Ovis aries: one gene and its partners. The protein of the gene in region 2 purifies or fractionates together with the protein of the main gene of each other region. This does not show direct contact. Links are inferred from orthologs where the notes say so. Each region holds a gene or a part of one and is shown on either strand. Other genes may lie near its edges.

Region 1 (5,931 bases), on a different chromosome or scaffold from region 2:
TCCATACAGTCAAAGGCTTAGGCATAGCCAATAAAGCAGAAATAGATGTTTTTCTGGAACTCTCTTGCTTTTTTGATGATCCAGCGGATGTTGGCAATTTGATCTCTGGTTCCTCTGCCTTTTCTAAAACCAGCTTGAACATCTGGAAGTTCACGGTGCACGTGTTCCTGAAGCCTGGCTTGGAGAATTTTGAGCATGACTTTACTAGCATGTGAGATGAGTGCAATTGTGCAGTAGTTTGAGCATTCTTTGCCATTGCCTTTCTTTGGGATTGGAGTGAAAACTGACCTTTTCCAGTCCTGTGGCTACTGCTGAGTTTTCCAAATTTGCTGGCATATTGAGTGTAGCACTTTCACAGCATCATCTTTCAGGATTTGAAATAGCTCCACTGCAATTCCACCGCCTCCACTAGCTTTGTTCATAGTGATGCTTCCTAAGGCCCACTTGACTTCACATTCCAGGATGTCTGGCTCTAGGTGAGTGATCACACCATCGTGATTGTCTGGTCGTTTTGTACAGTTCTTCTGTGTATTCCTGCCACCTCTTCTTAATGTCTTTTGCTTCTGTTAGGTCCGTACCATTTCTGTCCTTTATCAAGCCCATCTTTCCATAAAATGTTCCCTTGGTATCTCTAATTTTCTTGACGAGATCTCTCATCTTTCCCATTCTGTTGTTTCCCTCTATTTCTTTGCATTGATCACTGAAGAAGGCTTTCTTATGTCTCCTTGCTATTCTCTGGAACTCTGCATTCAGATGCTTATATCTTTCCTTTTCTCCTTTGCTTTTCGCTTCTCTTCTTTTCACAGCTATTTTAAGGCCTCCTCAGACAGCCATTTTGCTTTTTTGCATTTCTTTTCCATGGGAATGGTCTTGATCCCTGTCTCCTGTACAATATCACGAACCTCCATCCATAGTTAATCAGGCACTCTATCTGATCTAGCCCCTTAAATCTATTTCTCCCTTCCACTGTGTAATCATAAGGGATTTGATTTAGGTCTAGAAGAGTTTTAAGCCAGAACACGATTGCTTAGCAGGTAAAGAATCTGTCTGCAATGCAGGAGACAAAGGAGACATGAGTTCCATCCCTGAGTTTGGAAGATCCCCTGGAGGAGGGCATGGTAACCCTTTCCAGTGTTCTTGTCTGGAAGTTCCCGTGTCAGAGAAGCCTGGCGGGTCACAGTCCATGGGGTTGCAAAGAGTCAGAGACTACTGAGTAACAAAGCACAAGGCATAAACAGAATTTCATTTTCCATTGACCCCTCTGAGGGCAGCATAAAAAATGATTACACAGGAAAATCCTAGAGGCAAATTGACTAGTCCAGTTCTGAGATGTTGCAGTTGTTCCAGGGAAAGATGGTGCATGTCTGAGCTGTGTCTAGGCATCTGTGTCTCTAAGAACATATGGAGTCAAGAACTAAGAGATAAAATCAATAGGATGTGGTGATTGCATCCAGAGAGTGAAGGGGAAGAAGAACTTTTTCAGGTAGACTAGGTAGAGATAAAACACAAAATGACCATTAGAGTAACTAAAGTGTGAGGTAGAGGCTCTGTCTGACACCAGTCCTCCTGTTTCTAGAGACTAAATGTCTCCTTCAAAGATGTATATAGTGTGATCCCTGGGTGGAAGCAAGCAAAGCAGGCATTTCAAATATTTAATTTGAAAATAACCATAGTTAAATGGCAGGTCCAAAAATATGCCCTTGAATTTTACTTATGAAGGAAAGAAACTGTTCTATTTACTGGATGCAGGAGTATGCAATTATAGATGGCCATCTAGCAAATGGTTTTGATTTTGCAACCCATATAATGTATTTTGCAGCTGCTTGACTCCATCATTGCAATGCAAAAGCAGCTATAGATAGATAAATGAGAGTGACTGTTCCAATAAAGCTTTATTTATGAAAACAGACAACAGGCTGGATCTGGCCTGTGGGCCGTAGTTGTCAACTCCTGGCCTGGCCTAATGGATGACCTTGTGTGTACATTAGGACAGAGGGTTGAAGTGGTACAGACAGACATTGTAAACTTTAAAGCAAAACAAGCATATGTCTTAAAACCCTTTAATGACTTTCTTTTACCAGTAGGGTAGCATGCAAGCTACCTAACTTGGCAGGGACCCCTATCTAACAAAGAAGTATATTCATCTAAATAAAACTAGGAATATGTTTAGAATAGAATAGCAGTGCTACTTGCCATATTTACTTTCTTGTATGTGTGTATATGTTTGTTGTTTTTAATTAAGATCACATTTACTTTCTTATTCTCTTACCCTGCCAGACTAAGCTCAGCTTAAATCTTGACATTTCAATTTCTATTATTATTAATAACAGTGATAACAGTTTACAATATAAAGAAGTTTACTCTCTTCTGTGCTGTAGACAAAGAGAGCAAGGCTCAGATGCTAATTAAACATTCCCTAGATCACATCACTACTGCATTTGGCTTGGTTTTCTATTCAGAGTCCATAGTCTTGGATTATGTAATACTTCTCAAAGCAGAGGGAAGAAAACTAGAAAAGCAAATAGTTGAACAGTGAACAATGTTCTTGATTTGAACAGTTGTTAAAATTGGTATATGCTAAATTCGACTACAGATATCACAGATAAGCTCTATTAAGAAATTATATAAAGAATATTAAAAGAAATTTTATTTCTGTTGACACGTAGAATAAATGACCTTAAAGTCTTGACTAGGCACCTGATCAAGTACTGATATACTTGAAGGGTGGGTCTGAATGAATGTATTTGAGTTCTGAAAGCAGATTTTAGAAGGTTATATATGCTGTATAAAGTTCTGTAACTTAATGATTATAAGGATGATACTTCATTTTTTAAATTGTTCCAAAAAGGTTCATATATTTTATGTTAGTGTTCAAAAACTATTGTGCCCTTTCTTCCCTGGCCAGGCTGAAGCACTTTTCCAACAAATCTGCCCCAACGAAGACTTCTGTCCTCCCCCACCGAATCCTGAAGACATTATCCTTGATGGAGACAATTTACAACCAGAGGCTTCAGAATCCAGTGCCTTACCAGAGGCCAACTCAGAGACTCCCAAAGAAAGCTCAAATCTGAAAAACCCAGAGGAGCCCTCTAAGTAATGAGTATATGCCAAACTGGATACCACACTGTGGAAAATCCTCCTAGCCTGAGAGTCTTCTTGATGGAAGAACTGTTTGAAAAATGTTACAAGACAGCAGCCAGTTAACATGCAGAATTACCAAGAAAAACAATAAAAGATATCCAAAAGGGGATTTTCCTTAAAGAGGACATTCTAAGACCACAAAACACTTTGTAAAGCACATTGACTTGCCTGCTTTAAGATACCAAACCTGTGGAATTAGCAGATAAAAATTATAAAGTGGATTGATTCCCAGAAATATAGCTATGTTTATGAAAGTGATCCTATGCCTTGTTAGTAATTCTGTGGTATTAGGACAGCTTTTGCCTGCCACTTTGCTTGAAAGCCACATATTTTGAATTGGCTCAAAAATTTCCTTTGATTATTTGAGTTATATTTTCTTTATGGGTGTGAGCATTGTGACACAAATGATGAAAGTATATGAGTTTATGTAGCTGAAAAAAATTAAAGTATTGTAATCCAAGCAGGAGCCTATCTTTGAAATAGAGGTTTGTTTTGTTCTTTATCTTGAAGAGAATTGAAGATACTATATTAAAGTAGACACTTTTACAAGCAAGGCATGAGTCCCTTGCTGTTGTTGTTTTTTTTTTTTAATGTTAATAGTATTTGTATTTGAGTCCTGAACATTCTACAAAAGCTCAGTACTGGAAAATGAAAGGAAAGATTTGAATAGGCTTCTTTGGTGTTTGGAAATTCTTTCTAGTTGAGTACCTGGAGCACTAACCTGATTGTCTATGGACCTAATTTTGTCCTAGCTATACTGATATTAGGCAAATATGATGATGATATTTGCAAATTGCCTAATATGATATTAGGGAAAATGTTTACTTTCTGCACCTCAGTTTCTCTACATGTCTACTGTATAAGAATTATTTTGAAGATATATGAAGTGCTATCCTTAGAATGATTTTTCTGGAATAAAAGTGCTTTCAGAATTTTCTCATTGACTTGGGGGTGAATATCAGATCTCGTGCAGCAAATAGTTGCTTGCTGTCACTTCCCCCAATACAATAAATCATAGTGTTTTTATTGCATTAAGCTTTTAAAATAAAAATCTATTTCTTAAATTAGTATTTAATAGTCTTATAGAAGAGTAAACATAGTAACATATAGAATTGTGGTTTTAAATCTTTATAAGGAAAACATTCTATAAACTCTTCATATTCCTTTTCTAGTAATTAGACCTGAAACCACCAATGACTCTAAACAGAATATGACAATTGATAAACCCTAATATGCACTTAACATAAAAATATAAGGGCTGTGAATAGACAGCAAATCTAGGTACAGTGAGTGCCTGTATTAAAATCTTTCCAAATGCTGAGCTCTGATGGTTTATCTTCTTTGAGCAATAGTTTGGACTTAACAACTTATTTGAATAAATAAATTCATTGAAAGTGTATTGTCATGCTGTCTGGCCGGTATTGCTGATCATAGAGCCATGGCTACAGTAGAAAGCACATAGTTCTTACATTCTTCAGCTGTAGCAGGGCTTTGACCTCTCCAGATTTCAGCCAGCTCTTTACGGTCACAGACTCATGAGAAATGGAAAGAATGTAGCTCTTGCCTCACCTTTTAACCCCCCAGCAGGGTTTAAATTCAGCAGATATAGCTGAATCCAGAGGAAAACCTTCCAAGCCTCTCAGGCTACTCCTAACCCCTCTCCCCATTGCACAGCCTTTCCCCTATCTCTTTAATCCCCTCTATCCCTCTCTTCCCTTTTTATAATGTTATACAAATCAGGGACAATAGAATTACATTATAACCTACTTTGTTATGTGGATTCAGATCTGTCTTAAATTATATTTCCTGAAACCCAACTATGGTATGCACTGAATGCAAAATAGACACCTATAAGCACTGGGTATTGGTCCTGCCCTGCAGTACCAGCAATATAAAAGGTTCCACTATATGAGAGCATTGAGTTTGGATACAAATGCAGTAAGCTGCACCAATTAAAATATTGTACTTTGTTATAGTCTTAGAGTTAAGGCTTCTTGATACATCATGCACACTTATGTAAACAGCCAATCAGGGTAGACCCAGAATAACTAGAAAAATTCTGATAGCTTTACTACAGTTCTCTGAACAATGAAGGAGATATTCTGTGGTCTCATGGCCCAATCTATACTGTACCCTATTTCATCCATTAGCCAGTATCAGAATTTCTCTTCTGGATTATTTATTAATACTGTTGAAATGTTTAAAAGCTCCTGAATATCATTAGTGATGATTAAGATAATACACAGCTGTTTAAAACTTTGTGTTAGAAAACTTTAGATACTTCCTCTTGCCTCAGAATGTAATAGAAATTATTCTAAGAACATTCTTTTCAGCTGTCTTACTGCAAATACTTATTTTCAGAGCTTTAAAGAAAAGTCTTTCGGTTTTATTGTAAAACCGTAAGCATGAAGTCATATGAATAAAATTTAGATGTTTGTACATGATGCAGAAATTTCATTAGCTAATTTTAAATTTTGAAAATTGCTGTTATCAAAGAATTGTTATTCCTGTGTTTAAAATGTGTTATGCATGCTTCTTCTTAGCCAAAGTGATAATACCATTCAGTTTAGTCAGCAATATGAAAACAGATTACTAACCCTATGTTGCTACTGTATTTTTGTCTAGTTGGTATGCCTGCCCAGAAAAACATACATATATATATATAATAAACATATATTTTTCTACAGGAAAACTGAGTTATAATTTTCCCATCTACTATTATACTTAGCTGCTTATAGAAAAATGGTCATGTTAATGATTAACTTCTGGAATAGTAATTTCTGAGATTGG
Region 2 (5,931 bases):
CTACCCATCTCATTATGAGAGCTACAGAATCAAGGGGCAGGCGCGGGCGACACAGGGAGACAACATGGATTCTTGTTTTCTTAAATCAAGCCACCATGTTTAAGAACCACCACAAAAACTGACGACATCTGAATGTTCTTGACCACTCTAAGGTTCCAGAATACACAAATTCAAAAGTGCAGTATATCATTTCCACCTTACAACGCAACCAGAGAAGGAAAGTTTAAGTGAGCTCTTAAATGTTACTCAACATAAATAGTTAAATCTAAAATAAAGAACAGACGAAACATAAAACATCCGGCCAGGTTCATTTTTAGATAACTCCCCCTACACATCAGCCAGACAAAAACACACACTACCTACGAGTTACAGATCTTAAACAACTCAAACCTTGAAATCCTTAGATGCTTACAATCTACTCTAGTCCTTAAGAGTAAAGAGCTGCTTAGCAAAGAGCATAAAACAGTGCTCACTCTGTAAACAAGTTAATACATCTTACGCCTTAAACACATTAATTATCTTTCAAAAACAAAAAACCAGGACTAAAATGTGGTCAACACACTGAAAAGGTATTCAACAACCATTAAGACAGAAACTTGGATGTAAATTCCTTCTAAAGGTGGTTAAAAATGCCAGATTCAATCTCTACAAGTACAAAGTATTACAAGTTTTACATGTTAGAATGAAAACTTTTTGACAATTTCATTAATGAAATGTAAACAATCTAATTGGTATTAAATGGAAACAGGGATTATATACACACACTCATCCACACATATCAGAAGATATGTATATTTATGATGTATGACATGGGGTTAAACTTTTCTTTTAAATGTCCTTGAGATGTCATTAGGAAAAAGTACTCTTAGAAGGTTATTGGGAGTGTCCGTAACAAAAACAAAACTCCTCTCGGCCTACATTTCCCAGGAATTAAGTTCTTTACTACAGTGTTTCACTGCTTCTTCTATTTTAATATGTACTGTGAAGGCAGGGAGGGTAAGAATATAGCAAGTCCCAAACTCATTTTGACCCAGGTGTTTAGCCTACAATGCACGTGTATTTTGGGAAATGCTGCAAGCAACGATCACTTGCCAAAAAGCAGTTATAATAATTAACCTTTTGCACCAGGTTAAGCTGGGTGGGCACAGTCTCCAAAGTCTTTAAAATTTTTCCTACCATATGGGCTAGGCATCACTGGTGGCTCAGTTGGTAAAGATTCTGCCTGCAATTCAGGAGACCCTGGGTTCAATGCCTGGGTCGGCAAGACTCCCTGAAGAAAGGAATGGCCACCCACTCTTTATTCTTGCCTGGAGAATTCCACTGATAGAGGAGCCTGGTGGGCTACAGTCCATGGGAACGCAAAGAGCCAGACACAACTGAGTGACTCATATACTGTGTGGACTAGTTTCCTTTGGTCCAGTTTGTTTTCTGGAGGAGGCTAAAGCTTGAGAGGTAATACTTCATTACTAAACCACATATACACACATGTATTAACAAGGAAACAACAAAGCATGTGTGATATATTGTTCATCACAATTTTTAAAGATACCAAGATTTCTAAATCAAAATAAAAAACTCATGTGAAGGACTGTATTTCTGATGCTCACTCATTATAAACAAACATGAAGTATTAACAATAAAATGGGATCGCACTGTAACATGCTCCGCAAACACTGGGGGCTGGCTGGCCCTTGTCATACTGCTAGTCTGTTAGGTAGGAAATATCCGCTGTCTACTGCATTTCCTATAGAAAAGTCAGGAGACAGCCGAGTCCCGTGATTTGCATTAAAGGGAGGATCTAACATCGTAACATAGCTCTCAGTGCACTTGCTTGAGGTCATGTGCCCAGCGCACAGCGTAAGTCACGCTTCTAAAGATGGGCTCCAAAGAAGTTCCCATATGCCAAAGGGCATCTACCTTACATGCTTCAGAAGTAAAGTGTTTGACTTTTTAAAACATGGGGTTAAAAATACATTCGTGGACACCTGAAAAAATATGGTCCTGCTTAATTACACACCTCTTGCAAAGTAGCGTGAATCTTATAGCTGTGTGGTTCCTCTGACATTACCTAATTCAAAAGCTCATTTGACACATTAAGCAAAACCAAAACGGGCTTTGCCCCACTGCTACACAGCTGCAGACCTAAGTTCAGGGATCTCACTTCTCATCTCTTCCCAGTACAGCACTGTTGGCTGTCTCCTCTTGGTCCCACACCTTCCTTCCCTCCAGTCTGAACACCGTCCCTGTGTCCCTGTGAGCAGTCTTGACGCCACCTCTTTCCCCTTTTCTTTCACTTTCTCTCCAGGTCTCATTTCCCTTTTCATTAATCACGTCCCTCTTCATTAATCACTGGCTTCTTCTCTTCCCTCACCCTAGGACCATTCTTAAACATGTTTGATAAAATGTAACTAGTTTTGCAAATCAGTGTAATTTGTAAATAGTCCAGTTATTTAGAATTTAAATGGTAACTCTTTTACTCTTTACTTTTACTATTTTCGCCATTCATTCTAAAGCCAACACAATTCAGCAGACGTGTGATAATTTGAAAATGCTTTTAAACATTATCAAGAAAGATACCAATCAAATCTGAGACTTGGGACACTGATTCTACTCATGTTTGCATCTGTATTTTATGATCTTGGAGATAACCAGGAAATCAAAATATTAAAACACATTATCAAAAAAAAGCAAAACACATTATCTTATCAAAAATCAAGCTATAAAGCTTGAGTCTGCAGCTCAGCTCTTTTATTCATGCTGTGACCTATTTAGTTACCCATCATCATACAATCAGAACTGCAAAATCTTATTTGTCAACGTATGAGTCAATTAAATGAAGAAAGGTAAAAGAAAATCTCACCCCCGATGGTACTCTCCTGAAATTCATGAAACTGGCCCTTTACGAAACGAAGCACAAGGCTCGACTTGCCAACAGCAGACTCCCCCAGAAGCACCAGTTTAAACTGGCAGATCTTATTCCCAGTGTTTGGCCCGTTGGGTCTTGCTGCTCCTCGATTAGCCATGTCCAAATTTGAAAGAAGTCCCTAATATCAGTTTCTTAAATGAACTTCCAGGATGCAAGGAGTCAATTCTTTTCTTTCTGGAGGTAAAGAAACCTGTAAAAAAAACAAATATGAAGTAATTAAAAATACAAATCAGCAAAACAAAGCAAACCTCACATCATCACTTTAAAATTTTGCCTGCAACACAGTAATACACGACAACTAGAACCTCTATTGGACACTGACTGCCATTTACTTTAATTCACTGCCTTGATTAATAAGCAAAGGTATGAGCTTTGAGCCTAAAGTCATGCTGTAATTTTTAAGCCTCTGTAAACATTCTAAGTCTAACCTTTACTAAAGACTCAATTTCGTGCCAGATGGTTTTAAATACTTAACATAGCCACTCAACAACCCTATAAAGTTGCCTATTCCAATCCTTAAAAAATGAGGAAACAAGCATAGAAAGGTTAGGTGACTTGACTGAGGTCACACAGTTACTGTGACAGAGCTTCAACAGAGCTGATTTTCAACCCATGCAACCTGAAAGGTGACTAGTTCTGGTTCTGGAACTAGATTACTTAGGTTAAAATGGTTTTGAGTAAAATTAAGTCAATTAAGGAAAAAACCTTAGAGCTTAAAACAGTTAAGCTCAATAAAAGTCAGCCATTATTCTTTGAAGGCTCCTTGTAAATGGCACATGCTTTTTATTTAATGGTAACTTTGGAGCAACAAATATTTTAAACAGATCTATGTCTGGTGGCTAAAGGATTTAACACTGTATTCTCATGTCCTCAAATACATCATCCATGGAAGTGTTAACAGCGGTTCTCCGGATGGTGAGTGAGTGAGTGTCCTACTTACTTATACTCTTCTGCAGTTTTGGGGCTCACAATTAAACGTGTCATTATTTTCTATTTAACACACTTACAAAAAACTAGCCTAAAATGCAACTTCTAAGTCTTCTTTTATCATTTAATAATGATAATTCTCAAAGATACTAGCAAACTTTAAAAAAATTATTTTCCAAGCTACTCACAAATCATTAGCTCAGTCAGTAAAGACTTTGCCTGCAGTGCAGAAGACCCTGGAAAAGGAAATGGCAACCCACTCCAGTATCCTTGCCTGGAAAATCTCATGACAGAGGAGCCTGGTGGGCTGTAGTCCATGAGGTCTCAAAGAGTTGGGCACGACTGAGTGACTAACACTAAATAACTCACAAATCAATCATAATAGCTTTCTTCTACTTTTAATCAAAATCTGACCCTGTGCTTAATAACATTAAATATGATGATTCTCCTTCTCAAGTCACTGTTGGATTTCATTTAGGTACCTCGTAAGAAATTTGTCTTGCCCATGAAACGAGTTTATACAAGAATCTCTCTTAACAATCAACTCATTAATAAACATATCTATGAGACCATACATCTAAGACAATAAAATCTCCTCTACTTTATCTAAACAGCAGCACTGAAGACCTCTTATCTTTCAGTAATACATACTGTACCTAAAATATTTACAAATGAAATAATAGATCTGAGTTGCTCCCAAACAATGGGGGTATAAATAAAACAAGATAACTGAAGCTAGTTGATGGGTTCATTATACTATTCTTCCTGCTTCTGCATAAAGAATTTTCTGTGATTAAAAAAATGCTCCAATCTCACATCTATCCTCCCACCACTCCCAAACATACATCTGGGGATCTAATTCGATATAACTATACTAATTTCTGTTGGAGCAAGTGCCTTCATTTCAAACTCTCTACTCCGGAATATCCAATTTTCACAACTGCTGTGAGAAATTAAGAGAATATATACCTAAAATATTTCTGATACAGTGGTCAACACATAGCAGCGATTGAAAATAGGCAATTAAAGTGCCCCTTTGATGAAATAATGACCAAATATCAATAGAATGTCATGTAAACTGAAAATGTACCAACAAATCTTCATATATCACACACAACAGCAACTGAAACACTTCCCAGCTATTACCTACAGAACAGCAAACTGAATTACTCATCAAGGACAACGTGCTCTGAATTCCTATAGTCCTCCCGAAATTTCAGGGAAAGCATCAGATGCTCATTAAAGGAAAAAAAAAAAAAGATTTAACTTTGGTTATAGTTCCCTCCAAGGACCTCAAACAAAAATATTAACTAAATCTAATTATGAATATAGTTAGCATTACATTAAGGTTAAAAGCTATATTTTGTAATATTCATTTGTACTCATTACAAACTTTTGTTTTCCAAAACCAAAGATTTTGCAGAAAATGCATTTTAAATCTTTTGAAAATAACTGCTATTCTGTAGTTAAAGTCCTTCTGGGTGCTCTTTGATCAAAATTGAATTCATAACAGCAGCTAACATTTACTAGGCATTTATTTTATGCCAATCACCATTCCACGAATTAGGCTTACAGCAACCCTAAGAAGCTCTTATGATCCCCATTTTAAATTAAGAATCAAGTTTCTTGAACTGCCCGGAGTTATCGCAGTGGTGTCCATGTGGTTTTTTCCCCCACTAGTTATGTGAAAGGCAACTGATTGGACACTTAGGCTCCACTTCAGCAAAAGACAAAAACCAAGTATGCGAATTATGACGTTCAGAGCTTAAAAAGTCTGAAAGTCTCTAGAGAGTAGCCAGTTTGCAGGGAGGCGAACAGCAGAGCACGTTCAAACGGCTCCACCGTCTGAGGGCCTCGGCGGCCTACCTGGGTCGGGTTGCTTTCAGGCCGCGGTTCACCACCTTCCAGAGCTGAGACAAGAGGCCCTGGACAGCCGGGCTCCCCGGGCCACCGCCTCCCTCCATTACCCGGCTCGGGGAGCCGGGGTGGGCGGAGCTCCCCGAATTCACACCTGCCGGAGGCCCAGGTTCCTCCTCGGGGAACACCTGAGCCACCGGCAGCAGCTCCGACCGGCCAGC
Region 3 (6,547 bases), on a different chromosome or scaffold from region 2:
CTTGGCTCCACTGCTCTTATCTTTACAGGCACCTGGATCAGTCTCTGCCAGCCAGCTAAGTCTGTTTGGCTATCTCTCACCCACCTTCCTGTCATAACACGTGCTTGAAATGCCCTTCCTGTCCTCTTTCCAAAACCAGGCTCCACCTTCTTGGAAGCAGATTTAAGACTCACTTCCTCCCTTAAGTCTGCTTGACTCAAACTTCCCAGTTTCAGGATTGCTAATCACGAAAAAATATTTCATGCCTACTGCAGCCTTCCTCCACCCCGTCTCCTCCACCCTTTGCAACTATGATGTAATAAGATTGCACCTGTCACATCTGCACCTGTGGGCACCTGTCTTCCCAGATATCTGGTTGTACATGTGAGTGGTTATAGAGTAGGAAGCAAGAATAGATGGTGACCAAAAACTCAACCAACAAAACAAAAAAGTAGCTGGCGAGGTGGAGCGAGGACTGGGCCAGATCAGACCTATGTCCATTTGACCACTTACTACATGGGTGACACTTAGCAAGTTACTTAGCCTTTCTCTCTGAGCCTCTATTTCCTGGCATATTTGTTAAGAAAATCAGAAAATTACTACGACTTCCCTGGTGATCCAGTGGTTAAGAATCCGCCTGCCAATGCAGGGGACATGGGTTTGATCTCCAGTCAAGGAACTAAGATAGCACATGTTGTGGGGCAACTAAGCCCACATGCACTAGTAGAGAGAAGCCCCCACATGCTGCAATGAACACCCAGCCCAGCCAAAAAGAAAAAACTATTACCATTATTATCTACCTTACCCAGTACTGTCCTTACTTAGTACTGTTCAGGCACTGTCCTAAACACTTTACATAGACTTTACATTTAATTTTCACTCAACACTAGCAGGTAGGTAACATTATTTTCCCTATGCTTCAGCTGAAAATACTGAGACACAGTAGAAACTCAACACAGGTATTAAGTACCTTGCCCAGGTCACATAGCTAATCAATGGCAAAGCCAGAATTTGCACCTAGGCAGTTGGACCCCAGAGTCCATGTTCCTAAGCACTCTCCTTACTGCCTCCCACATGTAATCCTGTGTGTGTGCAAAGCCCTTGACACGGTGCTTGTCATTGCAGTCCCAGTGAGGAAGGTGACTACAAGTATAGGAGGCCAGGGCACGTGTCTCTTTCCCTGAAGCTTGTCAGGACAGAATAGAGAGTGGATGCTTTACACGCATTTCCAGGGCCTAAGAAAGGTGGGGAAGAAATATAAAGAATTTAAAGCCATATTTTACCCAGATGTGTCTTATACATATGCCACATGGACACACACTTCTCACAAATACACAATCAGTGACCACTCTGAACCCATGAAGCTTCCATCAGGAAACCTTCCTGAGCTGGGCCAGGCCTCACAATCTCTCAGATCCCTAAATGTGCACAGCACTGACCGTTAGGCCCAGCCAAGCCAGCCCTCACTATGCAGTGTTCTAGTCATTCAAATAACTATCCAATGACTACTGAAAATCGGGCCCAGGTATTGGAGAAGGAGGATCAAAAAAATATTGTTTCTGTCCTCCAGGAACTTTGAATCTCCTAGGAGAAGCTAGCATACACATCAAGACTTCAGAGTAGGACAGAGGAATAAGTGTTATCATTGACAGATTGAGGTATTTTGGAAAGCTTCCTGGAGGTGACACTTGAGTTAAATTTTAAAGGTGAACGGGAGTTACTCTGGCAAAGGAAGAGGTGTGGAGGAAGGAGAGTAAGGAAGAGGGAACAGGTTAACAAGCTTGGGAAACCCCAAGCCGTTCTATCAGCAGAAATGAAGAGTTTTTCATAGAGGCAGAACATGAGGCCATAAGGATAAGGAGGGCCCAAATGCCAAAAAGCCTGATGTGCTGATCTGAGAGAATCAGAGTTTTTCCCAAAAAGCTTCATGGAAGGGTTGTTGGCAGAGACACATCACAATCAAATCTGCATTTCAGAAAGGTTGACTCAGCAACAGAGGTAAAGAGGTGGCAGGGTGAAAATGAGGGGACATTGAAAAGACTTTCAACTATCTCTGGAATAAATGAACTGAAATTCTTAGCACAGTGGGAATGGAGGGGGTATTTATGAGATATCATGGAAAAGTGCGGAGGCCATCCACTGATATAGGTAACATGAAGGCCAAAGGTTAGACTGGAAGGAGAGGAGCCAATGATACTTTTTGACTTCTGGAGTTCCAGGTGTCTCTTGAACACCCAGGTGATACCTAATAGGCTTATGAATATGTGTGTGTCTGTATTTTTTTTTCCATTATTACAGTTTGCAAGACATGTGGACTGGAGATACAAGTTTGAGTGCCATTGGTGTACAGGTAGCAAGAGTGTCAATGTAGTCACTCAGAGAAAGTGTGGGCCAGGACTGAGCTCTGAGGAGCTCCAGCTCCAAGCAGTTTAAGGCTTGGATTTGTGAACATTCTTCCAGGAGCAGGGTGTGAAGAAAGAAGTAGTAGGAAAGGAGATCAACATCATTTAGAGGAAAACAAGCTGAAGAGACGAGGAGAGAGGGACGAAACTGCAGGAGAGACCAGAACATGGTGTCAAGTCGAGGAAAGTCAGTAGCATCAAACACTGCAGAGGTCAACGAAGATAAGGGCAGGAAACTTCATGTTAGGTTTGGCAACTAAGAGGTGGCCAGTGCGGTCAGAGTGAGGTCACTCGAGCGCTGAAAGGGTGGTTTCCGACTGTGGAAGAAATTTTTTCAACTGAAACGCAGTTTGAGCAGCTGGCTGGGAACTGCACCCCGCGCTGCTTTCCCGAGCTCATCAGAGTTAAGCGTTCACACTAACACACCAGAAGGCTAACAAGGACTTGGCGTTTTCGAACAGAGCGCGCAGGAATCCTGCGCAGGCGCTTCCGGAGTCGGAAGCTCTCCTGCGAGCCCCTCCCCAGGCCTGCAGAGGGCGCTGCGCCTCGGAGAAGCCAGAGCGTGACGCCGCTCTAGCCAGCGCTCGGGCTCGGTGGCGGGCGCCGCAGCTCCGCGTCCCGCTCGCCTCCTCCCAGCACAGGTGGGTCCGCCCGCGGGGGGCAGCAGTGCTTGGGAACCTTGGGGCGGGCGGGTAGCGGCAACCTCTGGGCACAGAGTGGTCTCCATAAGCTAAGTGCCCCAACTCGGGCCCAGCTCCGGCGGATCGGGCTGTAGGCAGGGCCGCACGTGTGCAAGACCAGTTCGGGTGGGTTCCTCCTGGACTTGCAGTGTCTGTCCCGGGACCCCTTAACACCCCAGGGGTCTCCGCCCGGGCTTGCTCACGGTTTCCTGGGGACATCGAGGGGCGGGGCTCCGAGGGGCGGGACTCCCATGATTGACACGTCTTTCGCCAGGTTTCACAGGCACCACTGGACCCTTCCCCTGCCCTGAATCTGAGCCAGCACCATGGTGAGAACCCTGAGCCCAGCTCCTCACCTCTGCATGCGCACGCCCTTGCCCTTGTCCGGCGTGGGCTTGCCTCCGTTTCCCGATATAAACCTGGGGCTCCGCAGGGGTGGTTCCGGTGGGTCTGCCCCAGCAAGGCAGCCTGCACTCTTGCAACCATAGCACGGGCGCCTGAAGGTGAAGACATCGGAAGAGCAAGCGGAAGCCAAAAGACTAGAGCGGGAACAGAAGCTGAAGCTATACCAGGCAGCCACCCAGACTGTCTTCCAGAAGGTGGGGCCCTCAGAGGTAGTCCCCTCCCACCGTGGCTCCCTTAGCATAGCACTTGACCAAGAACTGCGCCTTAGAGTCAGGTTGCTAGAATCCACATCTAGGTTCTATCACTTACTAGCTGTGTGTCCTTAGGCAAGCTACTGAATCTCTTTGGACCTCAATTTGCCCATCTGTAAAACAGGGCTAACGATTGTACTTACTGCATAAGGCTGTTGTGAAAATCAATGATTGCAAGATTACATATTATCCCATAAAGGGCTTTGTATAGTACTTGTAGTAAAGTGTGGCATTCACAGAACATTCAGTAGTTCTATTTATGTTATGGAGCTCTGTAGAAGAAGAGTGATGTGATCCCTGATCCTGTTATCTATCTTCTCAGCGCCAGGCTGGAGAGCTGGATGAGTCAGTGCTGGAACTGACAAGCCAGATTCTGGGAGCCAACCCTGACTTTGCCACCCTCTGGAACTGTCGACGAGAGGTGCTCCAGCAGCTGGAGGTCCAGAAGTATGTAGAGGTTTAGGGCCCAAGGAAGATGGCCCTCGCTCTGGCCCTGCCCGGCCTAGGTCCAGGGGTGGAAGAAGAATGGGGCAGCCAGGGGCATAGGCAGAGGGCAGTGGAGGGCTAGGTGCAAAAAGTCAAGGGTGAAATGAGACTGGGTGTTGGAGGGCCCTGACCCCCATTCCTCTGGGCACAGGTCCCCTGAGGAGTTGGCCGCTTTGGTGAAGGCAGAACTGGGCTTCCTGGAGAGCTGCCTGAGGGTGAACCCCAAGTCTTATGGTACCTGGCACCACCGCTGCTGGCTGTTGGGCCGCCTGCCAGAGCCCAACTGGGCCCGGGAGCTGGAGTTGTGTGCCCGCTTCCTCGAGGTTGACGAGCGGAACTGTACGTGCCTGCAGATTCTGTCTCTCTGCCTACACCTGCCCCATGTCCCGGTACTAGGGCCTCAGTAAGGTCCAGAGTTGGGAGGGATGGCCAGGATGGGTCCACTGAGCTGATGACACAAGGGATGACGAGGCCAAATGTGTCCTCCATGGAGGGCACAGAGGTGTTTCTTGGGGTCTCCAAGGGGATGCCACGGTCCCAGCCAGGCAGCTCTTGCCCTGCTTCTGAGATGTGTTGTCTGCCTATCCCCCCAGTTCACTGCTGGGACTACCGGCGGTTTGTGGCTGCACAGGCAGCTGTGCCCCCTGCAGAGGAGCTTGCCTTCACTGACAGCCTCATCACCCGAAACTTCTCCAACTACTCCTCCTGGCATTACCGCTCCTGCCTCTTGCCCCAGCTGCACCCTCAGCCAGACTCTGGACCCCAGGGGCGCCTCCCTGAGGATGTGCTGCTCAAAGGTAAGCAGGGTCAGGGAGTGCTTGAGAGGACTCTCCCATGCTGCCCTTCTGACCCTGATGCCTAGGCCTGCTCCTGAACCTACCACTCGGGAAAATGCCTGGCTCTGGGGATGCATAAGATCCAGCCCCTGGCTGCAGAGAGCCCAAGTGTCCACTTGGCTCCTGATGTACGCAGCCCCTGGGTAAGGCTGGCATATAAGTGAAACTGAAGGCAGGAAGTTCTCCAAAGAGAGGGCAGTATGTAGGGGTAGACAGGAGCCCAGAAGGGTCCTAACCAAAGCACCATGCCTCCTTGGCCCCTGCAGAGCTGGAGCTGGTGCAGAACGCCTTCTTCACTGACCCCAATGATCAGAGTGCCTGGTTCTACCATCGCTGGCTCCTGGGACGAGGTGAACAGTAGGGAAGAAGTGGGGGATTGGAGCCAAGAAGGAATGGAAGGATATTTAAGGAGACCTGAGACTGTTTCTTCTCACAGCTGATCCCCAGGATGCCCTGCGCTGCCTGCACGTGAGCCGGGATGAGGCATGCCTGACTGTCTCCTTCTCTCGGCCTCTCCTCGTGAGTCCCGAAGCTTTTGCTGAAGGGTACCGTGGATGGTGGGCCTGGTGCCGTTGGAGTGATGGTCTGTCTCTGTCCCCTGCATCAGGTGGGCTCCGGCATGGAGACCTTGCTGCTCATGGTTGATGAGTCACCCCTGGCTGTGGAGTGGAGGACCCCAGAGGGCAGGAACCGGCCTAGCCACGTCTGGGTATCCCAGGGTTGGTGGGTGGAGTCGGGGCTGGGACAGGGCTGGGGTGGGACAGTCAGAAAAGTGGTGCAGCCTGGGCTTTCTCTTAACCCCGTGCTCCCAGCTCTGTGACCTGCCCGCCACCTCCCTCAACGACCAATTGCCCCAGCATACATTTCGTGTCATTTGGACAGCAGGCGATGCCCAGAAGGAGTGTGTGCTCTTAAAAGGTGAGCCAGCCTGCAGCCTCCCCCCTTTGCAGCAGCGCCCCCAATCCCTGTCTTCGTCTCATGGGTGTCCTCTCCTACCCCTGCTCTGTCTCTCAGGCCGCCAAGAGGGCTGGTGCCGGGACTCCGCCACGGATGAGCAGCTCTTCAGGTGATGAGCACAGGGAAGCACACGGATAGGAGCAGGGCTGTGCACTCTGGGCAGCTGGGTGGGGTGCTGAGGGCTCAAGCAGATGTCTCAGACTGGCTACTGGGGATGACCAGCACTGCTCCCCCACCCTGCCCACCCTCAGGTGTGAGCTGTCAGTGGAGAAGTCCACCGTGCTACAGTCGGAGCTGGAGTCCTGTAAGGAGCTGCAGGAGCTGGAGCCTGAGAATAAATGTGAGGCCCGATTCCCCCGAGCTCCTGCTTCTCTGGGGGCCCATCCTAGGCAGGCTCCTTGCCAGGAGGATCCCTCTGTCCTAATCCCCACCCTCTCCCCAGGGTGCCTGCTCACCATCATCTTGCTGATGAGGGCGCTGGACCCCCTGCAGTACGAGAAGGAGACCCTGCAGTACTTCCAAACCCTCAAGGCAAGCTGGGTCCGCGGGAG
Region 4 (5,903 bases), on a different chromosome or scaffold from region 2:
CTTCCTTTCAAGTCTCTTACCTAGTTTCTGCCTGTTTTTAGTCAGTATCCAGTGCTTCCTGATTGGTTTTGTTGTTCAGTTTTATTTATATGCAAGAAGAATAGACTTACAAAGCTGTTCTCTTGTTACTGGTCAGTGTGGGTGTTTTTTTTTTTTTTTGACTATTTTCATAACAGAAAGTAAGACATCATTTACATGGTTTTGACTGTTTTAGAATTGATGCTTTAATGACTTAAACTAATGCCTTTTGGAACGAAATTGAACGAATGTTGCCTACTATTCATGAAAGTCTAAGAAAGGAGACTAGTAGTTTAGCAGTTATAAATTACTAATTGTAAATACTTCTTTTTCCCTAGGCTAAGTGCTATTTATGGAGGTACCTACATGCTGAATAAACCAATTGAAGAAATCATTATGCAGAATGGAAAGGTGATTGGTGTAAAATCTGAAGGAGAGGTAAGAACCTTTTACAACTTAAAAAAATGATATTCTTGTAAAGAAAACTTTATTGTCTAGTAAGTACTTAACTTGGTGTGGACATTGAGCCCGGATTTCAGACCACATATGTTTTCTTTATGGTAACTGGGTGTTCATAACGACCGAAAACTAGTTACAGGTGTGCTTTTGTTTAAAAAAATTTTTTTTTCTATTGTGTTGATTGTTGCTTAATACTAAAACAGAAATTACGAACGCACTCTAAATGGTAAGTTTCATTTATATGCTGTGGGTTGGTGCCTATCTCCCAAATTTCATTTAAATTTAGCTTTATTTGTTCCACGTACAATTTATTGGTTGAAATGGGGCTTGGCCAATACCGTTTTTTTATTATTCATACAATTAATAATGTCAATAATAATTACTATGAACATTTATTATTTGGGGTTTAGCCATGGAACTGGCCAGGAGTTTTGAACAGTGTTTCTCAAATTTGAATATAAATTGTTAATTTCGTTAAAGTACTTTTTTTTTTTCAGTTGTTCTGTGGTGGGTTTTCGTTTTCTTCCAAGTTCTCAGGGGGTGCCATTGCTGTTGATCTGCAAACCAGACCATATTTCATGAACCATCAACTTTTACAAATAGAACTATTAAAAAAAAAAAACCTCATATGTTAAAAAAATTTTTTTTTGGCATTCCTGATTGTATTCCATGGATTCAGACCTTAATCTACACTCACTAGTTGACCCTCTGACCCTTTATTGTTGTAGATCTTTTGTAACTATCTTGTGCTTTTAGCATACACATAATAGATGTTTAGGAAATAGGGGTGAATATTTTAATCTGATAACTCAAGGTTCTTTTTATTCATTCTTCTTTGTTTTAGGCAACTGCTTCCTCTTAGGACATTTCAGTGCTTTGATATAAAGAGGAAAACTATAATAATACATAAATTATCTTGCAACTTAAATTTTACTTGGGAAGTACAGACTTAGAGTGATTATGGTTTGTTTGTACCATAAGCGTTTATTTCTCACTGGGTCCATTCACATATAATGACATTTCTTGAACAGTTTCATTTAATTCTAGCAGTACGTGAGCCCTCTTCTGCCCAGTTCTAAAGCTTATATGTCTAAACACCATGCAACACATTTTATCTATTTGAATAAGATTTAAAATTCATAGATTTGCTCCAGGAGAACTTACAGGGATTGTTGGCAAAGCTAGTTTTAATAGTTATCTCTAATTCACTAATTATCTGTGGTTAACTTGATGAAGATAACAGGTGATGTTCAGGGAACAGTGGCATCATTATACCTTCTAAAAACATTGTGATGAACACTGAGTATTAGAAAGTCTTCAATGTTTTGTTGCAGATTGCTCGCTGTAAGCAGCTCATCTGTGATCCCAGCTATGTGAAAGATCGAGTAGAAAAAGTGGGCCAGGTGATCAGAGTCATCTGTATCCTCAGCCACCCCATCAAAAACACCAACGACGCCAACTCCTGCCAGATCATTATTCCACAGAACCAAGTCAACCGGAAGTCAGGTACGTTACAGAGGTCAGGCAACGTCTGCATAAATTGCAGTTTTTATCTATTCTATTAGAGTGAAGAAACTTTAGTTTACACATGGAAAATGTGATGGGTTTTAGCTCATAGAACTCCTAGACCATAACTTTGAAATGGACACGTTAGGCCAGGAGCCCTGCCTTGACTTCGACGCACCTCTTGGGGCCTCCCTTCCCTCCTCTAGAACCGAGAGCTGGACCCTATGAGTGCACTGTGTCTCGTCTGAACATTGTATGCTTGTGGGAGTTTATGCTTATTAGTTGACCTGGTTTCACTGTAACTTTTAGGCTGATGACAGCACATAGTACTATTATGTCATGATTTGTCAATATCTATACTTGCGTTTGCCTTTAGCAGTGTGCTAGAAAACAACTTGGATTTCTCTGATTAAGATCACAACTTAGCTCTGAAATCATAATTCTGCATCTGTTTGCTTTAACCATTGGTTTTCATCTAAGTAGCATTTCCCATCTTCCTTTCAGTTAGAGCCCTGAAGGTTTTATTTATATAAACTTCAACTTAAAAGGAACTATTAACCTTTAAATGGCCAACTATGTATTTTCCATATAAGAAATCAAATCACAGAAGGTTATTACTGAAACAAAGGGACTTTGACTAAAGTAATCTCTCAAGGGTTCCCAGTAGATCTCAGGGTCTGTCAAGGTGAGGCCTTCCCTGGTGGTGGTTCATTGGTTAAGAATCCCCCTGCCAGTACAGGGGCATGGGTTTGATCCCTGGTCTGGGAATATTCCACATACTGCAGAGCAACTGAGCCCATGCTCAGAAACAAGTGAAGCCTCTGAGAAGGCTGAGCACAGCCAAAAGAATAAATAAGAAAACAAAGAGTAAGGGGAGCCTAGTAATTGTTTTCTGTATTGGAAATTATGTAGTTACTTTAGTGTTACACAGACAAGTGTGGAATTATTATGAGCTTATGTCAACATAAGAGTAGCTTATGCTGTTTGCAATTTTTATTGCTTAAAAAAAATGAGAAATCAGTAGTTAAACCCCACCTTGGCTAGTCAGAACCTTTCTAAGTGCAGGACTCAGGGATGAGAGACAGGTTTCCACAGTTAGCTGTGGTAGCTGGGCAGACTCATGTCCACGTCCACTACTCACTGCCATGTGACCCCTTCCTTCATCTCCAGTAGGCTCAAAGTGGCTGAATATTTCCATCCCCTATGTACGACTGACCGTGTTTGCCTCCATATAGAACTTGTCTCAGAAGATAGTCTGTTCCAAGTAACGTTAACTCACAGCTCGCTGAAGTTGGGGTGAAACCGAGTGCGCACCTCGGCCCCATGTCCACAGGGCCTGGCAGTAGTGGCTTTGCTTGCTTCCAGATATCTATGTCTGCATGATCTCCTCTGCACACAATGTGGCCGCACAAGGCAAGTACATTGCCATCGCCAGCACAACGGTGGAGACCAAGGAGCCTGAGAAGGAAATCAGACCAGCCCTGGAGCTCCTGGAACCAATTGAGCAGAAGTAAGTGCTGGGTTTGTTTATGCCAGCTCAGACCCGGGACCGACTGGCTCCGTGGTGAACTGAACCCTTGAGAACAGTGAGTGCAGCCGTCGGCTCTTCCCAACCTCCTTGCCTGGGCTTGGAGTATCAGGCCCAGCAGTGAGGGGCATGTCAGCTCCCTTGCTGACTGAGTTCTCTCTCCCCTCCAGATTCGTTAGCATCAGTGACCTCCTTGTACCAAAAGACCTGGGAACAGAAAGCCAGGTGAGTGGCTGTCTGAAAAAGGTAATTACCAAGCTTCATTGGGTGATGTCACCAGATAAGTTTCAAGTCTTTGTGATTTTCATTTCCAGATCTTTATATCCCGTACCTATGATGCGACAACTCACTTTGAGACGACCTGTGATGACATTAAGGACATCTATAAGAGGATGATGGGATCCGAGTTTGACTTTGAGGAAATGAAGCGCAAGAAAAATGACATCTATGGGGAAGACTAACAGCAGTACATGTTATCATCTAATTAGGACAAACTTAAAATTTGGCAAATGATGCATATTGTATGAAATCAGTATTGTAAGGCCTGCTTTTGTAATCAAAACTGAGAGATTGCAGAGCACTGTACCAGTAAATATTCCTCCCCTTTCTAATATCATGTATTAACTTGTTTTCATGGAGTGGCTCTTCCGAATTGGTGGGTTCCCACGTTCTGTTCAATTTAACCAATATTGGCTTGTGTTTCCTAGTGAAGGATCAGTTTTAAAACCTTGTGATACTGATACAGAGAACTTGATACAGTATTTGTATCTTTTAATCAGTGTAGCCTTTGCAGTTATGAGCTTCCGCTGTTCAAGAGCTGGGTCAGTGCAGCTTGCGTGCCATCTTGTCTTCTTGACGGTGAGGAGGTTCAGAACTGAATGTCTGTAACTGGGGACAGCGTCCCTTACTCCTCCCCACCCCTTTCTGTTCACGTCATGTGTCAGGACAGTGCCCACCCAGCCCAGCCACAAGCTTGGTTTACATGGGCCTCCAGTTCTAACCAAACTCCAGACTTGGATAGTCTTTTGGAGGAAGCCTGTGTGCGGTGTTTTAACCTATTAAAACTGATGAGCGCAGAGGGGAAAGAAACCCATCATAAAGCAGGTAAACGTAGGAGCTTCTTCTGTATCCCAGATGTGGCTTCTTCAACGGACCAAGCTGCAGCACAGTATTGATTTGACAGAACCTCTGCTCCAGTGATGTCTCCAAATGATTTCTGTACTGCAAATAAAGCCCAACTCTGGAAACCAGCTCCCTCTTGTTCGTCTTTTGTGTCCTGACAACTCAGAGCTAGTGAGTACTGCACTGGCCTGACAAGCTGCTCATCTCCTTCACTAGAGCTGGAATCAGATGTGAGGGTGAGCGCTGAAGACCCCTCGTGGACGGTGGAGCACCACCATCAGGCTGCACTGTGAGTAGACCCTGAATTACGTCCTGACACAATGTTTATTAGACCCTCCTAGGAATCCCAAGTAGTGGTTTAGAAACAGACTCTTGTCATGAGAGAGTAGAGGACCCTGCCAAGTGGAGTAGGTGCTTTAATATTTCCATTTATTTCAGATTATAGCTGCACATAGTTTTAATGGTACCCCCTTTCCCCTGGATAGTTCAAGCCTCACTTTATGCTGTTACCATATCAGAGGAATGAGGACATTGTGACTATTCTCTCGGTCTGAGTGTTGATTATTACAGATGAGTCTGAAGGACATAGACTAAGGTAGGTGCTCTGCTCTGTTAAAGGATTTAGGGTAATAACAACTTAGATTACCCAGGTGGTTACTTTAGCTCAGTCTCATACTGCCCACTTTTGGGGGGCTTGTTCTGCACATGGTATGCACCTCCCTGGATGACATCCCCGATCATCCCAGTTGAAACCTCTGCCCTTTCTAAAGAGAGTTATCTAAAATTCCCACAGGCCACCCACTTGTCACACAGTAATTCACACCGAACTGTTAATGCAGCAGAGGTGCCTGCTGGCCTAATGACAAGACAAGAGAGCACCAGCGTGTCTTCGTGTTCTGCATTCAGCATATTTATTGAACAATAAAATGTCGGTGCCAGGCCAGTGGGTACAGGGTTGCCAAGGGCAGAGTCTGTACTGCAGCTCAGCCTAGTGTGCCCACCCTCTCGGCGTGGCTCAGCCCTCAGTCACAGGACAGATGGCTTGGCAGGCGCCTGCTGGCCAGTCTCCGTCTTCAGCAGAGGAGGTGGCAGGGCAGGTGCCACGCTGGGCAGGTGGCAGGTGTGTCAGCCACATGCTCTCCTTTTCTGTAGTGATTTCTGATTAATTCAGGGTGCCTAATTCAGCTATGGTTCTCTTACTAGGTTCTTGTTCCTGGGGTAAACATTAACTGGTTGGTTTTCTAAGTAAGGGCTAGGGTAAACTCTATTC
Region 5 (6,670 bases), on a different chromosome or scaffold from region 2:
GCAATGTCAGAAGCTTAGGGGAAAGCTGCTCAGAGGAAGCTTTTGCATATGAGCATCACTGGTGGGACCGGAGATGGTGCCTAGTGGGGAGAGGAAGGGCAGGCTATCTGGTTCAGGGCTCGCCCCCAGGGCTGTTGAGAGAAGGTTTTGTGGGCTCTTGTCTGCAGGTGGCCCGTGATGTAGCCATGGTGACTGGGGGGCTGGGTCGCCAGCTGTTGCAGAGAACGGTGGTGCCACCTGCAATCAATGCCCCCGTGAGTTACAATGACACTGCCCCGCGGATCCTCTTCTGGGCCCAAAACTTCTCGGTGGCATACAGGGAGCACTGGGAGGACCTGACCTCCCGCACCTTTGGGGTCCAGGACCTCAACCTGACTGGCTCCTCCTGGAATGAGTCCATTGCCAGGTGAGGGCAAAGTGCGTGCCCCTGACTGGGTCTTTGTTTAGGGGCGTTCAGCGTGAGGACGCAGGTGGTGGTGTAGGGTGGGGCCGCTGCTCAGAGCTCTGCCTGTTCACGCCTTCTCATCCCTTAGCTGGGGCCTTGGTTGTTAACAGTTCCTAATCACCCTGGATCCTGGTGCCACCCTCTTGGGCAGCCTCATGGCCCAGCCTGAGCACTTTAAGCAACTCCAAGAGGGAGTCTGGGGGTTCAGGGAACCCAGAGGAAGGAGCCCTTTGCTGGAGGTGGGGTACCTGTGTGCTACCTGGTTCCTGACTTGGAAAGGGATGGGGCCTCAGGTCTCCTATCTGTCAAGCTAGGGTGCTGGTTCTTTAGGTGGCTCTGCAGGAGGATCTGGTACAGCTCAGGTAGAAGGAGACCTAAGGGCCTTGCTCGGAAATGTTTTCAAGGCCATTCCAGAGTCTGAAAACCCCTCTTCCTCCGCAGGCTGGTGCTGACCTATGACTCACTCTTTGGGACCATGGTGACGTTCAAGTGAGTCTGAGAGGCAGGGGTGGGTGGGCTGCTGTGGCTCCAGCCTTTCCAGCTGCCTGACCTCCCTCCGCGATGCTCCCCCCCCAGGTTCACTCTGGCTAACCGCTTCTACCGGGTATCTGCCCGGTACTGGTTTACCTTGGAGAACCTGGAAATCCATAGCAACGGTTCCGTCGCCTACTTCAATGCCTCCCAGGTCACGGGGCCCAGCATTTATTCCTTCCACTGCGAGCATGTCAGCAGTGAAAATGAGGATGGCAACCTCCTTGTGCCTGACACACAGCCCTCTCTTTGGCAGATGACTTTTCGGGACTTCCAGGTAGGAAGGGAGGAGGGACTGTGCCTGATAGTGGGGAAGCCGTGGCTGGAGGAGGGGTTCGAGGGGAGCAGAGGCCTGCGAAGGGTCTCTGGGTCCTTTCAGGTTTGGGCCTGGGAGTGTAGGGGAGTCCCGTACCCTTGCTGCTCTCTTCCCACCAGCTGGGGAACCCCCAGCCCTTACTGGGCTTCTCTGGGTGGGGCCACTCAGTGCTTTCTGTCCCTCAGATCCAGGCCTTCAATGTGACAGGCGAGCAGTTCTCCTATGCTAGCGACTGTGCAGGCTTCTTCTCCCCGGGTATCTGGATGGGGTTGCTCACCTCCTTGTTCATGCTGTTCATCTTCACCTATGGTCTGCACATGATCCTCAGCCTCAAGACAATGGACCGCTTCGACGACCACAAGGGCCCCACCATCACTTTGACCCAGATCGTGTGATTCCACACCTGTAGGGGCGGGGGATGGGGGGGGGGATTGAGGGCGTGCCTGAGGTCCAGGTTGTCACCTTCCCATCAGAGGCCCACTGGGCAGGAAGGCTTCTCCCTCTTCCGCCATTGCACGACTCCCTGGCTCCCCCTAGCTTGTCAGGCTACCTGTTCAGCCTGCTGAGGGTCTTCCCTAGGCTGCCCACTCCCCACCACATCTCTCTCCACAAGGTGTATATATTTCTGCATAGACAGTAGACAGATCTCCCAGGCTTGATCATTATAAAGGTAGGGGCCATCAGTTCTACAAAATCCACCCCCCTTCTCCTTATTTATTCTGATTTCTCCACCTTCGCTGCTTGCTGTTGATAGTGCTTTTGTGTAGCCAGTCCTCTCTTCCCAGGCTCTATGGGGTTCCTTGTAGCAGCCAGGAGCTGTTCCATTCCCTGAGTTTGGGGGGGAGTGTGGAAGTACTATTTGTCTGTCCCGCTTAGCTGGCGTTATTATTTTATTTTTTGGTGATGTGCTAACAATAAGACGTACACTGGGGTTTATTCCTTTGGCCTAAGAAGGAAGGGATCTACATGGCAGGTGGGATGGGTGTGATCACGGGGTTTGGGACCTGTTCCTGTCGGGAGTACCTGGCAGGAGCCCTGGGGTGCTCGTGGTTTCCTTCCGAATAAAATAAAGACGGGTCGCCATGCTTGGGCTTCTTGTCACTCATTTCTGCGCTGGGCACAAGGAAGGGAGGATGCACTTGGCTGACGGCCGAGAGAGGAGGCCCGAGGATGGAGGGATGGAGGCTGCTTTTCCAGGGACCAAGCGGAGGCCGAGAGGGTTGTTTGCTAGCTGGGTTTCCCCCGGCCCCCGCCTCAGCGACTAGGGGAGGGCGGGGGCCGTCAGCGCCCGGGAGAGGGAGGCGGGGGAGACGGCCACGACAATAGTCGCCCCCACGTCCCTAGGGGCCCGCCTCGGGCTGCTGCAGCAGCGCGCGCCCAGCCGGCGGGGCCGCGCCGAGCTTCCCGGGGCGGGGCGCGCGCGGCTCCTGCGCACGGATCCCTGGCGGACCTCAGCACCGTCTGCCAGGCCGCGCCGCCCCGCCCCGCCCCGCCCCGCCCCGCCCCGCCCCGCCTCACCGCCCTCTTTTCTAGGCCCTCGGCAAAGCGGCGCGGCCCGCCGAGTGGCGCGAGTGCTAGAGCCCGGGCTCCAGCAACCCTCCCCGGGAGGCAAGCGGGGACAGCAGGGGCCCCCGGTCGGCGCGGCGGCGGAGGGGAGGGGCCGGGACTCTTTGACGTGGCGGAGGGGTTGAGCGGCACGGTTGAGCCGCCATCTTTGGTCCACTGCGGCGGCGGCGGCGGCTGCGGCGGCGGCGGCGGCTGTGGCGGAGGAGGAGGAGCCGACGGGCGCTGACACCGAGGCCTGACCATGGACGAGGAATACGATGTGATCGTGCTGGGAACCGGACTCACCGTAAGTGCGGCCGCCGGTGTCCAGGGCGCCGCCTGTCCTCCTCCCTGGGATGCTGCAGCCCCCGGCCCCATCCTCCCATCAGTGCCTGCGCGGCGCTGTTCGGTCCCCGAAAAGATAGCCCCGTCCCCAACCACCGTGACGCGGCCTCCATCCCTGTCATGGCCGGTCTGCCAAGAAGCGGCCCCTTTTCTGGCTGTCTCTCTTGACCGATTCCCCGGGCCCGACCCCCAGCCCCTACCCAGGACCAACTTAACATCCCTTCTCATTTTGCGCTCATTCTGACGGGGATGTCGTGGTACAGGGACCTCCAGTCAGATCGGGGCGGGGGGACTTCCCAGGGTGGGCTTTCATCCTGCCTTCCCAGGTTCTTAGGGGGCCCGAGGACCCAGGGAATGTTCCAGAAGGAGCCGTGGTGGGGACCGTGACCACATTCCCACTACCCCACCCCGGTTTCCCATGGAGACCTCGGGGCTGAGGCGCATTTGCAGCCTTTGTCCTTGGGCTGGTGACAGTGACTGGTGAGGTTGTTTGCCCTCCCCCGAACCCTGTTGGACTGCTGCCCTGAGAGATGCCTCCCCAACAGTCGGGTGTGGAAGCCCCTACTGTGACGGGGAAAGCTCAGGGTCAGGGGTTCCTCTTTGAGGAAAGTGGCCCAGGGTGGGGCCTGGGATTTCGGCACCATGCTAAGCCTTTACTTCCTTTTCGGGTCCTTTGCTTGTCCAGCTAGGCGATCCCTGTGTTTTATTTGCCTTTTTGTGGGCTTCTACGTCGATAGATGATTTTCTTGGCATCTTGGTTGCTTGAAGACCATCCATGTGTCTGCTGGATACCCTCTTCCTTGTTCACCTTTTTGCCCAGCAAGGTTTTAAAAGGAAACCATGGTCAAATGAAGGTGTCCCCCCCCCCCCCCAATTTCAGGCAGAGCGACCAGCCACAGGTGCAAGGAGCTGTGTGTTGAGGCAGAGGCCCTTCAGGTTGACTCTCCCCTCAGGGTTGGAGTGGGGAACATGGTCAGGGCTGCTTGTGGGAATGTGGGCAGATGGGAGTGCAGTGAACATTGCCCCTCACTCAGGAATGTATCCTGTCGGGTATCATGTCTGTGAACGGGAAGAAGGTGCTGCACATGGACCGGAACCCCTACTATGGGGGTGAGAGCTCCTCCATCACCCCCCTGGAGGAGGTAGGCTGCTCTGGGCCCAGGCCTGTCCCTCGTTAACCTCTTGCATGGGGTGCTGAATGAAGCAGCTCCCCAGGTTTTCTGGGTGGGGGGCGGGGGCAGGGGCGGGAGTGGGAGGGGGTTCCTTGAGATGCATCTTTCTGTCTCTCTTTTCCCTTCTGCTGCCTGCAGCTGTATAAGCGTTTTCAGTTGCTGGAGGGGCCCCCTGAGACAATGGGCCGGGGCCGAGACTGGAACGTTGACTTGATCCCCAAATTCCTCATGGCCAATGGTGAGGGAGACGGAGGAGGTATTGTGGGAGGCGGGGTGATTGGGACGAGCAGAGAAGGGTCAGACTGCAGACCAGGGACAGACAGACCAGCTTGAGCTTGTGAAGGGAGCCATGCTGACTGTGTTGCCTTTCCCACACCGCCCTGCAGGGCAGCTTGTGAAGATGCTACTGTATACAGAGGTGACACGCTACCTGGACTTCAAGGTGGTGGAGGGCAGCTTTGTCTACAAGGGGGGCAAGATCTACAAAGTACCATCTACCGAGACTGAAGCCTTGGCTTCCAGTGAGTGTGGGTCCCATGAGCCAGGGAATCGGGGTGGGGGAAGGGGGGATAGCTATCAAGAGCAGGATGGCCCTTGCTGCAGGCCATGTTTCTTGTGCAGTACCAAAAGCCCCTTGCTCTATCATCCCCCTGTGTGCACCCACTGGTTGCCAGGAGAGGTGTCCAAGTGCGAAGGGAATATGGTGTCCTGGACAGAGGCTTCACCTGATCAGTGAAACATCCCCAAGTGTCAGAGCTGGGAATGCTCTCAGAGGCTGTCCAGCCAGACTCACTCTTGGTACAGTTGAGAAAACAGGCCAATGAGCACAGAGGGGTTAATTGAAAATCACACAGTGGTCAGCAAGAGAACTCTGCTGGGAGTTAGGGCACCGGCTTGCTCTGCCTGCCTGGCAGGTGGAGAGGGTCACGGCCCGTACCTCAGTGGTGCTTTGCATGTGGCCCTCACAGACCTGATGGGCATGTTTGAGAAACGGCGCTTCCGCAAGTTCCTGGTGTTCGTGGCAAACTTTGATGAGAACGACCCCAAGACCTTTGAGGGTGTCGACCCCCAGAACACCAGCATGCGTGACGTCTACCGGAAGTTCGACTTGGGGCAGGATGTCATTGACTTCACTGGCCATGCCCTAGCGCTCTACCGCACTGATGAGTGAGGGGAAACTGGCATGGCAGATGACCCTTCAGCCGGCCCACACCCTGCCCTCCCACTCCTGCCTGCTGCTCCCTTGGCTCACCCTGCCTACCTCCCATACTCAGCTCCGGGCTCACTCACCTGTCGCCTTTTCTGTCCCTTCCTTGTGTTTGACCAATGGTCTTTCCCAGGCCTGCAAGGGTGGGAAGGCTGGCCTGATGCCAGGGTGGGGGTGCACTGGGCCTTCTGCTCTTGGAGCCTCTTCTGACCCTATTTCTCCCAGCTACCTGGACCAGCCATGTCTCGAGACCATCAACCGCATCAAGTTGTACAGCGAATCCCTGGCTCGGTATGGAAAGAGCCCGTATCTGTACCCACTCTATGGCCTTGGCGAGCTGCCCCAAGGCTTTGCAAGGTGAGGGCGTGGCTTCTGTCGATTGGCAGTGGAGAAGGCTGAGGCCCACAATGGAAAGGGCCCCCTTGGGCATCTCCACTGTGTTTTGTTACTTTCTCACTGTGGGCTTAGTTTACTTCCCACCATCCTCGGGTGATAGCAGCCTAGTGGGGCATTGTAGTGCGGAGATGAAGGATCACAGATAGGGCTCGCTTGGCTCCTGGCTGGAGTCAGATGGCACGAGGACTGGGCCTGTGGCCTTGAAACCTCCGGTCAGATTCATCAGAGCCATTCATTCTGTTCCCTGGGATGTTTCCCTGAGGAGCTGCCCTCATACTAGCCCTTAGCTGGAAATTTCTGGCAGTAAGTCTAGAGAGGAGGGACCCCTCCAGGTTCAGTCTTGAGGTCCTGGCAGCAACAAAGCTTGGAAGAGCCCCCAGGTCTCCTGAGCTCTGCCTGCCTGAGGCCACCTTCTCCATGCCCTGCACTGCTGGGGGCAGGGCGTGTAGTAGTGCTGGTCCCCATGTCTCCCAGGAGGCACTCTCATGGTTCCTCTCCCCACTGTAGATTGAGTGCCATCTATGGGGGGACGTACATGCTGAACAAACCAGTGGACGACATCATCATGGAGAATGGCAAGGTGGTGGGCGTGAAGTCCGAGGGCGAGGTGAGCCTTCCTGCTGCACAGGCACGCTGGGCTGGGCTGGGCTCAGCCCATCCTTTGAGACACTCTTCCTGGTCACCCTAGCTCTGCTGGGGCTCCTACAGCTTGG

What was found.
Region 1: the proteins of RAB5A (region 2) and CHM purify together in Homo sapiens (affinity purification with mass spectrometry; 3 studies listed by BioGRID and IntAct, counting the BioPlex papers as one, with this or other methods). This does not show direct contact. The link is inferred for Ovis aries from reciprocal best matches to the Homo sapiens genes RAB5A and CHM.
Region 3: the proteins of RAB5A (region 2) and RABGGTA purify together in Homo sapiens (affinity purification with mass spectrometry; 3 studies listed by BioGRID and IntAct, counting the BioPlex papers as one, with this or other methods). This does not show direct contact. The link is inferred for Ovis aries from reciprocal best matches to the Homo sapiens genes RAB5A and RABGGTA.
Region 4: the proteins of RAB5A (region 2) and GDI2 purify together in Homo sapiens (affinity purification with mass spectrometry; 3 studies listed by BioGRID and IntAct, counting the BioPlex papers as one, with this or other methods). This does not show direct contact. The link is inferred for Ovis aries from reciprocal best matches to the Homo sapiens genes RAB5A and GDI2.
Region 5: the proteins of RAB5A (region 2) and GDI1 purify together in Homo sapiens (affinity purification with mass spectrometry; 3 studies listed by BioGRID and IntAct, counting the BioPlex papers as one, with this or other methods). This does not show direct contact. The link is inferred for Ovis aries from reciprocal best matches to the Homo sapiens genes RAB5A and GDI1.

What each region holds. Positions count from the first base shown.
Region 1 is NC_056080.1:77,404,357-77,410,287, reverse strand, and holds part of CHM (rab proteins geranylgeranyltransferase component A 1), read left to right. Parts: intron 1-2,905; coding exon 2,906-3,097; 3' UTR 3,098-5,931. UniProt on the Homo sapiens protein: Substrate-binding subunit of the Rab geranylgeranyltransferase (GGTase) complex.
Region 2 is NC_056054.1:278,210,016-278,215,946, reverse strand, and holds part of RAB5A (ras-related protein Rab-5A), read right to left. Parts: intron 3,117-5,931; 5' UTR 3,024-3,116; coding exon 2,861-3,023; intron 1-2,860. UniProt on the Homo sapiens protein: The small GTPases Rab are key regulators of intracellular membrane trafficking, from the formation of transport vesicles to their fusion with membranes.
Region 3 is NC_056060.1:20,709,972-20,716,518, forward strand, and holds the start of RABGGTA (geranylgeranyl transferase type-2 subunit alpha), read left to right. Parts: upstream 1-2,956; 5' UTR 2,957-3,187; intron 3,188-3,335; 5' UTR 3,336-3,387; coding exon 3,388-3,390; intron 3,391-3,549; coding exon 3,550-3,660; intron 3,661-4,039; coding exon 4,040-4,164; intron 4,165-4,354; coding exon 4,355-4,542; intron 4,543-4,796; coding exon 4,797-5,000; intron 5,001-5,305; coding exon 5,306-5,389; intron 5,390-5,475; coding exon 5,476-5,558; intron 5,559-5,646; coding exon 5,647-5,748; intron 5,749-5,851; coding exon 5,852-5,957; intron 5,958-6,053; coding exon 6,054-6,105; intron 6,106-6,247; coding exon 6,248-6,336; intron 6,337-6,438; coding exon 6,439-6,527; intron 6,528-6,547. UniProt on the Homo sapiens protein: Catalyzes the transfer of a geranylgeranyl moiety from geranylgeranyl diphosphate to both cysteines of Rab proteins with the C-terminal sequence -XXCC, -XCXC and -CCXX, such as RAB1A, RAB3A, RAB5A and RAB7A.
Region 4 is NC_056066.1:42,505,571-42,511,473, forward strand, and holds the end of GDI2 (rab GDP dissociation inhibitor beta), read left to right. Parts: intron 1-356; coding exon 357-456; intron 457-1,811; coding exon 1,812-1,983; intron 1,984-3,348; coding exon 3,349-3,493; intron 3,494-3,681; coding exon 3,682-3,736; intron 3,737-3,825; coding exon 3,826-3,972; downstream 3,973-5,903. UniProt on the Homo sapiens protein: GDP-dissociation inhibitor preventing the GDP to GTP exchange of most Rab proteins. By keeping these small GTPases in their inactive GDP-bound form regulates intracellular membrane trafficking.
Region 5 is NC_056080.1:80,000,414-80,007,083, reverse strand, and holds the start of GDI1 (rab GDP dissociation inhibitor alpha), read left to right. Parts: upstream 1-3,099; coding exon 3,100-3,144; intron 3,145-4,216; coding exon 4,217-4,324; intron 4,325-4,492; coding exon 4,493-4,592; intron 4,593-4,740; coding exon 4,741-4,875; intron 4,876-5,322; coding exon 5,323-5,521; intron 5,522-5,786; coding exon 5,787-5,918; intron 5,919-6,464; coding exon 6,465-6,564; intron 6,565-6,670. Other genes in the region: ATP6AP1 (V-type proton ATPase subunit S1), read left to right, coding at 168-406, 887-934, 1,022-1,253, 1,478-1,687. UniProt on the Homo sapiens protein: Regulates the GDP/GTP exchange reaction of most Rab proteins by inhibiting the dissociation of GDP from them, and the subsequent binding of GTP to them. Promotes the dissociation of GDP-bound Rab proteins from the membrane and inhibits their activation.